Linked DNA regions of Saccharomyces cerevisiae S288C. Changing the gene in region 1 together with any one later gene gives a genetic interaction. Each region holds a gene or a part of one and is shown in the gene's direction. Other genes may lie near its edges.

Region 1 (4,238 bases):
ATTACATCTTTACGCAGCCACTTCTCACAAGTGGATGAAGATGTTCTTAGGAGCGCAGTCTCAAGGTATTCCTGTCGTCACTGCCTACGATACTTTGGGAGAGAAAGGGCTAATTCATTCTTTGGTGCAAACGGGGTCTAAGGCCATTTTTACCGATAACTCTTTATTACCATCCTTGATCAAACCAGTGCAAGCCGCTCAAGACGTAAAATACATAATTCATTTCGATTCCATCAGTTCTGAGGACAGGAGGCAAAGTGGTAAGATCTATCAATCTGCTCATGATGCCATCAACAGAATTAAAGAAGTTAGACCTGATATCAAGACCTTTAGCTTTGACGACATCTTGAAGCTAGGTAAAGAATCCTGTAACGAAATCGATGTTCATCCACCTGGCAAGGATGATCTTTGTTGCATCATGTATACGTCTGGTTCTACAGGTGAGCCAAAGGGTGTTGTCTTGAAACATTCAAATGTTGTCGCAGGTGTTGGTGGTGCAAGTTTGAATGTTTTGAAGTTTGTGGGCAATACCGACCGTGTTATCTGTTTTTTGCCACTAGCTCATATTTTTGAATTGGTTTTCGAACTATTGTCCTTTTATTGGGGGGCCTGCATTGGTTATGCCACCGTAAAAACTTTAACTAGCAGCTCTGTGAGAAATTGTCAAGGTGATTTGCAAGAATTCAAGCCCACAATCATGGTTGGTGTCGCCGCTGTTTGGGAAACAGTGAGAAAAGGGATCTTAAACCAAATTGATAATTTGCCCTTCCTCACCAAGAAAATCTTCTGGACCGCGTATAATACCAAGTTGAACATGCAACGTCTCCACATCCCTGGTGGCGGCGCCTTAGGAAACTTGGTTTTCAAAAAAATCAGAACTGCCACAGGTGGCCAATTAAGATATTTGTTAAACGGTGGTTCTCCAATCAGTCGGGATGCTCAGGAATTCATCACAAATTTAATCTGCCCTATGCTTATTGGTTACGGTTTAACCGAGACATGCGCTAGTACCACCATCTTGGATCCTGCTAATTTTGAACTCGGCGTCGCTGGTGACCTAACAGGTTGTGTTACCGTCAAACTAGTTGATGTTGAAGAATTAGGTTATTTTGCTAAAAACAACCAAGGTGAAGTTTGGATCACAGGTGCCAATGTCACGCCTGAATATTATAAGAATGAGGAAGAAACTTCTCAAGCTTTAACAAGCGATGGTTGGTTCAAGACCGGTGACATCGGTGAATGGGAAGCAAATGGCCATTTGAAAATAATTGACAGGAAGAAAAACTTGGTCAAAACAATGAACGGTGAATATATCGCACTCGAGAAATTAGAGTCCGTTTACAGATCTAACGAATATGTTGCTAACATTTGTGTTTATGCCGACCAATCTAAGACTAAGCCAGTTGGTATTATTGTACCAAATCATGCTCCATTAACGAAGCTTGCTAAAAAGTTGGGAATTATGGAACAAAAAGACAGTTCAATTAATATCGAAAATTATTTGGAGGATGCAAAATTGATTAAAGCTGTTTATTCTGATCTTTTGAAGACAGGTAAAGACCAAGGTTTGGTTGGCATTGAATTACTAGCAGGCATAGTGTTCTTTGACGGCGAATGGACTCCACAAAACGGTTTTGTTACGTCCGCTCAGAAATTGAAAAGAAAAGACATTTTGAATGCTGTCAAAGATAAAGTTGACGCCGTTTATAGTTCGTCTTAATGGATCAACATTTCCATGATAGGAAAGCCTCATCATACTAAAGCACTTTTTCAGTTTTTTGCTTTAGAACTGCTACCAATTATAAAATAGAATGCACAGGTTATCTTGTTTGGTTTGTTATTATCCTTTTTTCTTCTTTACCAGTCATATCACCTCATTCACGTATGTTCGTAATTTATAATGTTAAAAATGGCATATATAGATATATTTATGAACATCCTAAAAAATAACTAAATTTTTCTACATTTCAAAAAAGGTAACGTTGACTGCCGCATGGCAGTCTAATTAGGAGCTTAGTGATACATATATATATATATATAAATTTCGGCCAAGACACCTCACATAAGAAGCATTACCAGAGGTGTCCTGATCTGAGATGGACCCTGTCTCATTTGTTGAGTTGACAAAATATCAGGGAAATTGATTACCCTGGTGTGCACTGACTCCTTAGTACTCATTTTCACAGCTTCGTACACATCATGGAAGACAAACCATAGCAACCAGCCGCTCTCATTCAATCTCGCATAGACTGGAAGAAGAAGCTCCAGAAGCATATCCATTCCTTGCAAAACGTTCGTTTCTGCGTGCCTGTCTTCTCCACTTTTGTCTCGGTCAGCCAACAGGCACGTGGTGGGTGTGCCTGGAGATTAGAAATTGTAGTTCCTCAGATTATGTAAATTTTCTCAACAAATTTACTAGGACAAAGAAATGACGTAGTAAGAGTACTAAGTATCAAGATTGTTGAGGTGTTCCGTTGTTAGTACTTTTTTACGAGCACGCGAAGTTGACACATTGTGTCTGGCAGATGGGAACTAATTTACTAATCAATTTGCAGCAGTACGCTATCATGTGATGAAATATATTCCCGTTGGATTAACCATAGTCTAATAGACAGTAATATCGAGGACTCAGGGACTACGCCATTTATTTACTTGGAATAATTTGCCTGCCCATTCAATAAAATTATGAAAATTGTGACGTTCATACACATGCTGATGAAATGAGTATTTCTTTTAGTTGAAAATCCAACAAATTCCTCATTAACGCCGTTTTCCCACTTCTATTTACTGGCTTTTCTTTCAAAACGAGGGGATTTATTCTTGGCGTTGTTGAAATTTTCACATTTCCAGAAGATTTATTCGGCGTTTATTTTTCTAATCCAGATTTAACAAAGAGAACAAAATCCCACTCGTTACCCTGCCTTGAATTGTCAGATGGCCTTATTTATTTATTTGTTACCCGCAGATGTGGATATAAGACGGAAATGGATAGTAAAGCTAAAACGACTCTTCAAGCAGAAATTACCGAGATGAGGTAAAAATGAATGGGCAAAATAGCTAGCCAAGAACAGCGCAATCATTCTAAGATTAACATTGATGAACTACAGCGCAGACTCTGGTAATACAGTTTATGTGGGGAATATAGATCCAAGGATAACGAAAGAACAACTTTATGAACTCTTCATTCAGATCAACCCTGTTTTAAGGATTAAGTATCCGAAAGATAAAGTTCTACAAGCTTACCAAGGCTACGCATTCATCGAATTTTATAATCAAGGAGATGCTCAATATGCAATAAAAATAATGAATAATACCGTTAGATTATACGACCGACTGATAAAGGTTCGTCAAGTAACCAATTCTACAGGAACAACTAATTTACCTTCAAATATTTCTAAGGACATGATTCTACCTATTGCTAAGTTGTTCATAAAAAACCTTGCAGATTCGATAGATAGCGACCAATTAGTGAAAATTTTCAATAAATTTGGTAAGCTCATAAGGGAACCCGAAATTTTCTACCTATCAAACGGAAAATTAAAGTGTGCTTATGTTTATTTTGAGGACTTTGAAAAAGCAGATTTGGCAATAAAATCTTTGAACAATCAGTTAGTCGCCAACAACAGAATTACTGTTGATTATGCCTTCAAAGAAAATGGAAAAGGTAACGCAAAATACGGTGATGACGTTGACAGGCTGTTGAATAAAGAAGCATTAAAGCACAACATGTTGAAATAAGATCCCGCTCTCACCTAGTACATACCTTACCCGTTAGAAAATGCGATAACGGACACAATCTTGGCAGAAACATTATCAATACTATGATATATATATATGCGTTTCCGACTATACTAATTTTTACACTTTTTGAAAATTTTCACTTCTCCTCATAATCAAACGAGGCAGATTTCCCTGGACTGTATGTAAGAAGCGTACACCGAGTTCCAAAGGTCACAAGCTTGGTGCTCTAGCTTTGAATCCTCCGCGTCTTCTTCTTTAACGATACATTCAAACTCCTTCATTGATGGATAATTCCAGGGCTTGGCCAATGGATAATCCGAAAAATGTATGTACTTAGAATATGCGACACTGTCGTTTAATCCTACCGGAATATCGTTGCCATCATTATCCAATGTCTTATAACCCAAAACGTCATTATAGATTATAGAATAGTGCCGTGGGTTTCTCAATGAACCCGTCAGTAAGCCGTACCTTGCAAATGGCAAAACCAATACTTC
Region 2 (4,076 bases), on another chromosome or scaffold:
TATGTAGAACAGTGAAATATTTTTCCTTTTTTTTTTTATTATCAAGAATCACTTGTGTCAGTTATCGTTAAATTCCAGGTTACAAAAAGATTGTAAATGCCAGGGAAAATACAATTCAAAAAAGTTACAGTATAGTTATATTTAATTACTTAAATTTACTTTTTTTACTATAAGGTGCTATTCCTGCATTCTTTTTTTAATTAATCAGGACTTATAAGCTGATAGTACTTTCATTCTTTTTTTTTTGTGTGATAAGGCCATTGAACATTATGGAAGACTAACTACTTTTTCTTCAAGAAAATTGTGTGCTTCTACTCTCGTTCAATACAGGAAATTTTAATTCCAACAGAGTGGAAATTTATGGTTTTCTTACCACAATAAATTTCTCAATTGTTAAAATCTGAAAAGTTGGCAGCCCTGGCCCTGTCAAAGAAAGTATTATTATGCGTCGCGAAATTTCTTTTTCTTCACGCCTTGTTTTTAGTTTGGGCATCTCGAAAGCATCTAATACAAAATCCAACTAAAGCACAGCATTCAATCTAGTAGAGAGAACAAGAGATATTCATCATGACCGGCATGGAATCAGGAGAGAATTTGGAAAACATGGAAGATATTTTGGCGAGACATCGCAAGGAAAATAAAGATTTACAGAATAAGATAACGGGTATGAAAAAGCAGGCTACTAAATCCAAAAGGAAAGAAGTTAATTCGAAATGCCTAGATCTTCAAGATAAACTAAAGACTAAGCAAGAAAATGAAATAAGGGATTGGAAAATTGCAAATAATGAAGTGTTTGACGCAGAACAAGAAGATGAAGTGACTCCTGAAAAACTTTTAGAACAACTATCCATATCTCGAGATGAGAAAGAACAACAGAATGTTCCCGTTCAACAACAGCAACAAGGCCAGACAAAGAAGCGTCGCAATAGACAAAAGGAAAGATTGGCCAAAAGAGATGCAGCAATTGCTAAAATGAAAGAAGAGGCTGCTTTAGAAGCATCCAAACAACCGGACTTGAAAAAAATGGAGCAGGAGTCTATAGATCAGTTATGCGAGTTGAAGAAACTGAAACAATTCGATATACAACCCGATGGCCACTGTCTCTTTGCATCTATATTAGATCAGTTAAAATTACGCCATGATCCAAAAAAACTGGATCAAGACATGGATGTCATGAAGCTGAGATGGTTGAGTTGTAATTACGTACAGGAGCACAGGGATGATTTCATTCCATATTTGTTTGATGAAGAAACTATGAAGATGAAAGACATTGATGAGTATACGAAAGAGATGGAGCATACAGCTCAATGGGGTGGTGAAATTGAGATTTTGGCTCTCTCTCACGTTTTCGACTGCCCCATTAGCATTCTGATGAGTGGAAGACCTATTCAAGTGTACAATGAATGTGGGAAAAATCCTGAATTGAAGCTAGTTTACTATAAACACAGCTATGCATTAGGTGAGCATTATAATTCATTGCATGATTCTTGATTTTTCCCATCCGTATCTAATGAGATATGCTTATTTGTAAACCTTAATGCATCTATTTAATTGTATAGTTTGAAGCATATGGATATAAAAGAATAAAGAGAAGTAATAATCGGATATGAACATTGGTGGAGGAAAATTTTTACTTGGGAGGATATCGAATAATCCAACTTCAGGGATAGTAGGGCTTGCTAATGTTGGTAAATCGACTTTTTTCCAAGCAATAACAAACTCAAAATTGGGAAATCCTGCAAATTATCCATTCGCTACCATTGACGCAGAATGTGCCAAAGTCAATATACCTAGCGTGCCGCTCTCTAATTTATTGAGAATATATCAGAGTGCGAAATGCGTACCTGGAACACTCACAATATATGATATTGCTGGGCTCACCAGAGGCGCATCTCAAGGCCATGGTTTGGGTAACAAGTTCTTAAACGATATCAGACACGTAGAGGGGATATTTCAAGTGGTGAGAGGATTCTTAAAGGAAGACATCACCCATATAGAAGGTAATGTTGATCCTGTCAGAGATCTATCCGTGGTACAAGATGAACTCATCTTGAAAGACTTAGAATTTCTGGAAAACATTAGGGAAAGACTTAGTAAGAAGATGAGAATGGTTTCGAAGAATTCTAAAGAACATCAGGAAATGAAGATAGAGACAGAATTATTAGATGCATTAGAGGAACATTTGTTTAACGGTAAAAAAATCCGGCATTTCAAAGATCATTGGAACCTGGATGAAGTCAAAATTTTGAATAAGCATAACTTTTTAACCTCCAAACCAACTTTGATATTGCTAAATGTTTCACCTCAAGATTACGTTAGGAATGAAAATAAATTTGTCAGAAATATTATAGAATGGATTAACGAATTTTCGCCAGGAGATAAATTCCTACTTTTCAGTGCAGAATTTGAATCGCAATTGATGGAATGTAAAGGCATAGCGTCAGAGTATTTTGACAAGATCAAGGAAGATACCAATGTTTCTGATCAACAGTTAGTTTCTGCGATACCGCAAATAATACTAGAAATGAGAAAGTTGTTGAACTTAATTAGCTTCTTTACATGCGGCCCACAAGAAGTTCACCAATGGAATATAAGGGAGGGAACCACCGCTCAAGAGGCCGCGGGTGTAATCCATAGCGACTTGCGTGAAACATTTATCAGCGCTGATGTAATAAAATATGACGATCTGAAGAAGATGGAACCACCGCTAAATGAGTCTTTACTAAAATCTAAGGGACTTATCAAACGTGCAGGCAAACAATATATTATGCAGGACAATGACATTGCCTTATTCAAAGCCGCCGGTGGGAAAATTAAGAAATAGTTTGTCATAAAAAATACTTGTAAATATGAATAGAAACGCTTGCTTTGTTTTGTCTTTTCCAATAATTACACAAGAATCAACAAAAGTATGAGATATATATATATATATATATATATATATTATATTTGCATAAGGTTTAACCACTGATAGTAAGACAGAGGTATATCGAGGAACTGTGTTTACCTAGAGTGGGCTGATTCTAATAGTGCAGCTATATGCGAAAATGAGAAAAAAGGAACCGCTGAATTCAATAATATATTTTGGTTAATGGACGAGAAAAAGAGGAATCTAATGGAAATTATTTCCAGTTAGAACCAGCTTAGTTGGAAGCAACAACAACTTCGACATCCACACCAGGTTCAATGGTGATTTGAGTGATTCTCTTAACGATTTGAACAGGAGCTTCCAAGTCGATGTATCTCTTGTGGATTCTCATTTCGTAGGTTTCCCAAGTCTTAGAACCTTCACCATTTGGAGTCTTTCTGGTGGAGATCTTCAAAACCTTGGTTGGTAGTCTGACTGGACCCTTCTTGACCAAGTTGTGTTGTTCAGCGTTCTTGACAATGTTGGAAGAGACGTTTTCCAATTGCTTAACCTTGGTGGAGGTCAAAGTGATTCTAATCTTGATGATTTGTTGTTGTTGTTGTTCTTGTTCTTCAACCTTTTCCTTTTGAAAGTCAGACATTTTGTATATACCTTTTTGTTTATTTTACTTGCTTTCTTGTAGGAGTTTCAATCTAAAGCTGAGCTTGAATGAAATAACCCATCTTTACTATTATTTTGAATTCAATACGGTCTATTACTCAATCTCTGAGGCTAGTCGCGAATGCGTCGAAGTTTTTTTTTCAAAATTAAAACATTATCGTTACCCGAACTTTATCTTCATAAAAATAGTTGTGGCATTTTTTCTCTTATGTTTACGGATGTAGAAAATGTACAGGTGTGAACTTGCAGGTAAACATTTTTACATTTTTACTTTTATCTTTTCCCCTTCTATAGAGATAAAAATAAGAAGTTTCAGGGAAATCTCTCTTTCCATAGTAAATAGTGTTAGCAGCAGACAAGACAAGAAGGATATCAATGACGATACGCATTTTTCCGAATGATCTGGTCAGATAATTCTTTTTTTCCCTTTATCGGGAGGTTTTGATGAGAAAACGATGTCAATAGTATTCTAGTCACAATAGGGAGCTAGACGGCTATTCAATCAGAATGCGACTATCCGGAGTTATCCTCAATGATAGACGTTTCT
Region 3 (4,226 bases), on another chromosome or scaffold:
ACTCGATCATTGGAACATCCCTGCCTCGATTTTAGAGCTAGTATCAAATTTCAATCTCTTTGTGATGGAGCCCCGCTCCTATTTCAAAAGAGAAGTTTCTTGTATGCATATGTTATTGAAGTCTGATTATAGCAAGTGCAATGTCGTCTCAATTATTTTAACTATTTTTAGCCATACATGTTAGTTATCCTCAAAGAGAGCCTCCAGACTGGGAAGCAGTGTTTGTCATTTCAAATAAGTAGATTTCACAGTTTGTATGATTTTCGAAGCCAGGATTCATTGGGCTTTGAGTAAAGAGAAGCCGCGTATTACGAACAGCTTACGATATTGTAAAATATTCCCTTATTGTGGTGCCCCAATGGATACATGCCAGAGAAATGTCTGTGAAATTGAACAATTACAATGACGAGAGCAAGTAATCCGGCGGCCTTGTCTCTCTTTCACTAGTACCGTCTATATCTCTTGAGCGCCAATATGCGAAAGCTTTCACAAGGTTGATGTTCATGGTATTCGGCGTCGATAGCGAATTGCTTACTAAGAAACATTAGGGTGCAGTACAGCCTTGTTTTTCCAGTTCGACTAACCTTTTTCTTGGCAGTATGGAGACTGACTAGGTCTCCCAAACATTCATTGTAACTGCTGTTTAAAGATTTTGTTCTAACCTAAATTCAAGTGAGAAGCTGAACATGTGTCTCTACTTATGATATCACGACAGCAAATACTAATCTTGCCATAAATAGTCTAGCGTTTTGCAACTTACCTCTAGATATATTTTATTTCTTGAGGAACCGTTTTCGTCGGTAATAACAAAATACTACTGAAACGCCACAGCATTGAGAGAATACGTTATCGATTACGGCTTTCTTCTCGCTCCAGATGTCGCGGGTAAGATATTCACCTCAAACTTTTCTTGTTGAGTGTCGTCACAAATCTAGAACCTACATGCCATCTCAACGATTTTTCTGGAGAAAGGCCTCACTCCGTTCCGTACGTAATGCATAGATAAAGTATCAGGATCTTCACGATGCTCGAGAGTTACTTAGTAGTCTGAGTTTATGCGAAAAAAACTCCGCCGTTGTAATAATCGGGAATACACAGAAGTAGTACTGCACTATCACTGGGATACTCAAAAACCTTCTTTTTAACTTTTCTATCCCACAAATAGAACATAGGAAAGAACATTGACTCCTCCACTTGAAGTTAAATTACAGGAACAAACGCCTAACTATAATTTCGACATTGTTGCATCAACGAATCGACCGAAAGAAAAATCTGGAGTTGCAGTTATCACTTGTATGTGCACTAAGATTTATATTTTTACTCCTGAGATCTGCCAAATCGGTAGCTTATTGAACTGCGTTCCTTTTTCCCCTGAGTTCTCGAGGTACCTGCGGCTTTGTCTGTGCCATCTCCCCCACTTTAAAGTACCCCACGTTACTACCGCGTTTTTCCCCACCCCCGGCTTAATAAATTAGCTATATCTTGTTGACTTAAATACGGAGAAAAGAAGAAAACCTTCAAGAAATGCTTCATTGTCTTGTCAAAAGAGCTAAAGTAAAAGAGCTCTAGTTCGAAGATGGCCCGCAATAGACAAGCGTGCGACTGTTGTTGCATTCGTCGAGTAAAGTGTGATCGTAAAAAACCATGTAAATGTTGTCTTCAACACAATCTGCAATGTACATATCTTCGACCTTTGAAGAAAAGAGGTCCAAAACCCGTCAAGGTGAGAAATTTAAAGAAAGTAGATGATGTACAGGTATTTAGTAAAAGTAGTAGTGGTGGCATAATGAAGGTTCCAAAGGCACTAATTGATCAGTGTCTGCGGCTCTATAATGATAAGTTGTATGTGATCTGGCCTTTGCTGTGTTATGATGATCTTTACGAACTTTTAGAGAAAAGATATGACGAAACCTGTGTGTATTGGTTCCTGGTATCTCTTTCTGCCGCCACGCTTAGCGATTTGCAGACTGAAATTGAGTCGGAAGGAGGGGTTACCTTTACTGGGATACAGTTATCCAGTTTCTGCATGTCATCACGCCAAGAATTTGACGATTTTAACGGTAGTGATATATTCAAGATTATGACGTACTATTGTCTAAACCGCTGCTACGCACAGATGTCCAACTCAAGAACTTCGTATCGGCTTTCTTGTGAAGCCGTGGGGCTCATTAAGTTGGCGGGGTTCCATCGCGAGGAAACTTTGAAACTTCTTCCTTTCGATGAGCAGCAGCTTGGAAGGAAAGTTTATTATTTGCTTCTCTTAACGGAAAGATACTTTTCTGTGTATACGCATTGCGCCACGAGCCTGGATACCACGATTGCTCCACCACAACCGGAGAACGTAACGGACCCCCGACTATCTCTCGACAGCTTCTTGGAGATGATTAGGGTATTTACTGTACCGGGAAAATGCTTCTTTGATGCTCTAGCTACCGACTCTGCTAATGTAACCTGTACTGAAGACTCCCTTAAAAAGATATGGAGGGAACTTCATACGGTGCCACTTGAGATAGAACCATGGTCTTACGGCTATGTAGACATATCTTTTTCACGGCATTGGATTAGAACACTTGCTTGGAAGCTAGTGCTTCAAATAAGCGGTATGCGAATCAGTTTCCTTTCAAATAGCAAGAATACGCATATTCCAGTAGAAATTGCTAGAGACATGTTAGAAGACACATTTTTAATCCCAAAAAATCTTTATGCAGTTCACGGTCCAGGGATATCAGTGAAAGCACTAGAAATAGCCGACGCATTGGTAGATGTTGTGAATCAGTACGATCAAAATGCAGAGTCGGAGGCTTGGAATTTTTTGTTCGATATATCCAAATTTGTCTTCTCTCTTAAGCATTGTGATAGCACATTAGTTGATAAGTTTACGACAAAGTGTCAGTGTGCGCTTATCACGCTTCCTCTTTCTAATCCGCTTGAATCGACAGATGGTTCTAAAGAAGATGTAGATGCGCTTCCTTAAGTAAACACATTGCTACTTGCATTTTACCTTTCAAGATGTAGTGATTACGGACAGTTGAAGAGGCTAATAGCATCTATTTCTTCTTTAGTATATGGTTCCTGCAGGGCAAACAATTATTTCCTTTGCAATTTTGCGGCAGTGGGGAAGAATGATAGCACTAATAGTGAACTTGTGGACAATTATGCTATTATAGCAAGAAAAAAAATTTATTTTTTTTTCAAGGGGGGTGATTGTGATGTGAATTAAATCAAGGATATACGCTTTTATCGTCATGATAGTCGTGCGATTTGTACTTGGTTATAGATGAAATGAGTTAGTTTTTAATAATTGTGATCACAATATAGCTGTACTTATCAGGCCATTAAAGTTTCCTGTAAGGTGCACGAGAAGTCATGGTCATAAAATTATCAGAATCTCCAAGGAGAGGTTCAACGGCGTCGGTTGCCCATACTCCATATTAAGTACCCTGTCATTTCCACAGTTACATTAGTTGGAGTAGTATAGAAACCAAAAAGATCAGAACTCCAATAGGCAGTATTTGGGTCACAGTATTCAGTGTCACGTTTTTTAGTTTCATAAAGAGGTCCGCAAGGATCATATCCATCCTCATCACGCTTCAAAACTGCATAAGTCACACAGGTAGGAGTGCTCTCACAAGGCGGACTATAGTATATGGAGAGATTGGTCTGTCCGCTAACGGAACCTAACTTCTTTGTATTGGAGTATTCATAGCCCATATATTCAGGCTCCAAGTATGTGGTTTGGTCGCCTATTGTGTACTCATAAAAATTAATATTCATACCATCTTCCCTTTTGTTTGTTGGTAAGCAAGCTTCTGTACTGGCTAAGGTTGTAGTAGCTAGCGCCACGAAGACCAAGAGTGCCGAAAATACGGAATGGGGTATAGACATTTGAAGGTGTGGAGGGATGCTGGTATCCTCCAATTGTTACATTAAGATTATCATCTGGCTATCATGAAATGAAGGTTACCTTTATATAAGAAAGACTTTTAAAAAAATGTTTTGTTTTCTGCTTTAGGGAAGTAGATATCGTTCCTGCATTTTGATATCAAAATAATCTCCGGTAGGCATCAATTGCAGTTAAAGCTCTTTCTGGCAAAAACCCCGATACCCATGTAGGTACGCTCTTTTCACCAGGTCTTAATAATTTGATGGGCACCGTTTATCCCAGGCAAGCCAAAAATTAGAAACAAAAAACAACTCACGTACGTTAAAAAACCTGATAGTGCTTC

Evidence for each region.
Region 2: mutations in HSH49 (region 1) and YLF2 together harm fitness more than expected from each alone (negative genetic interaction), as found in Saccharomyces cerevisiae (one large-scale study listed by BioGRID).
Region 3: mutations in HSH49 (region 1) and ZNF1 together harm fitness more than expected from each alone (negative genetic interaction), as found in Saccharomyces cerevisiae (one large-scale study listed by BioGRID).

The regions. Positions count from the first base shown.
Region 1 is NC_001147.6:909,726-913,963, forward strand, and holds HSH49 (U2 snRNP complex subunit HSH49), read left to right. Parts: upstream 1-3,096; coding exon 3,097-3,738; downstream 3,739-4,238. Other genes in the region: long-chain fatty acid-CoA ligase FAA1, read left to right, coding at 1-1,720; GNT1 (glucose N-acetyltransferase), read right to left, coding at 3,894-4,238. UniProt on the Saccharomyces cerevisiae protein: Possible SF3b-like factor.
Region 2 is NC_001140.6:74,845-78,920, reverse strand, and holds YLF2 (Ylf2p), read left to right. Parts: upstream 1-1,606; coding exon 1,607-2,824; downstream 2,825-4,076. Other genes in the region: deubiquitinase OTU2, read left to right, coding at 568-1,491; 40S ribosomal protein uS10 RPS20, read right to left, coding at 3,144-3,509. UniProt on the Saccharomyces cerevisiae protein: Hydrolyzes ATP, and can also hydrolyze GTP with lower efficiency. Has lower affinity for GTP.
Region 3 is NC_001138.5:26,656-30,881, forward strand, and holds ZNF1 (DNA-binding domain containing protein), read left to right. Parts: upstream 1-1,576; coding exon 1,577-2,974; downstream 2,975-4,226. Other genes in the region: YFL051C (uncharacterized protein), read right to left, coding at 3,403-3,885. UniProt on the Saccharomyces cerevisiae protein: Transcription factor that regulates respiratory growth and plays a critical role in stress adaptation during non-fermentative growth.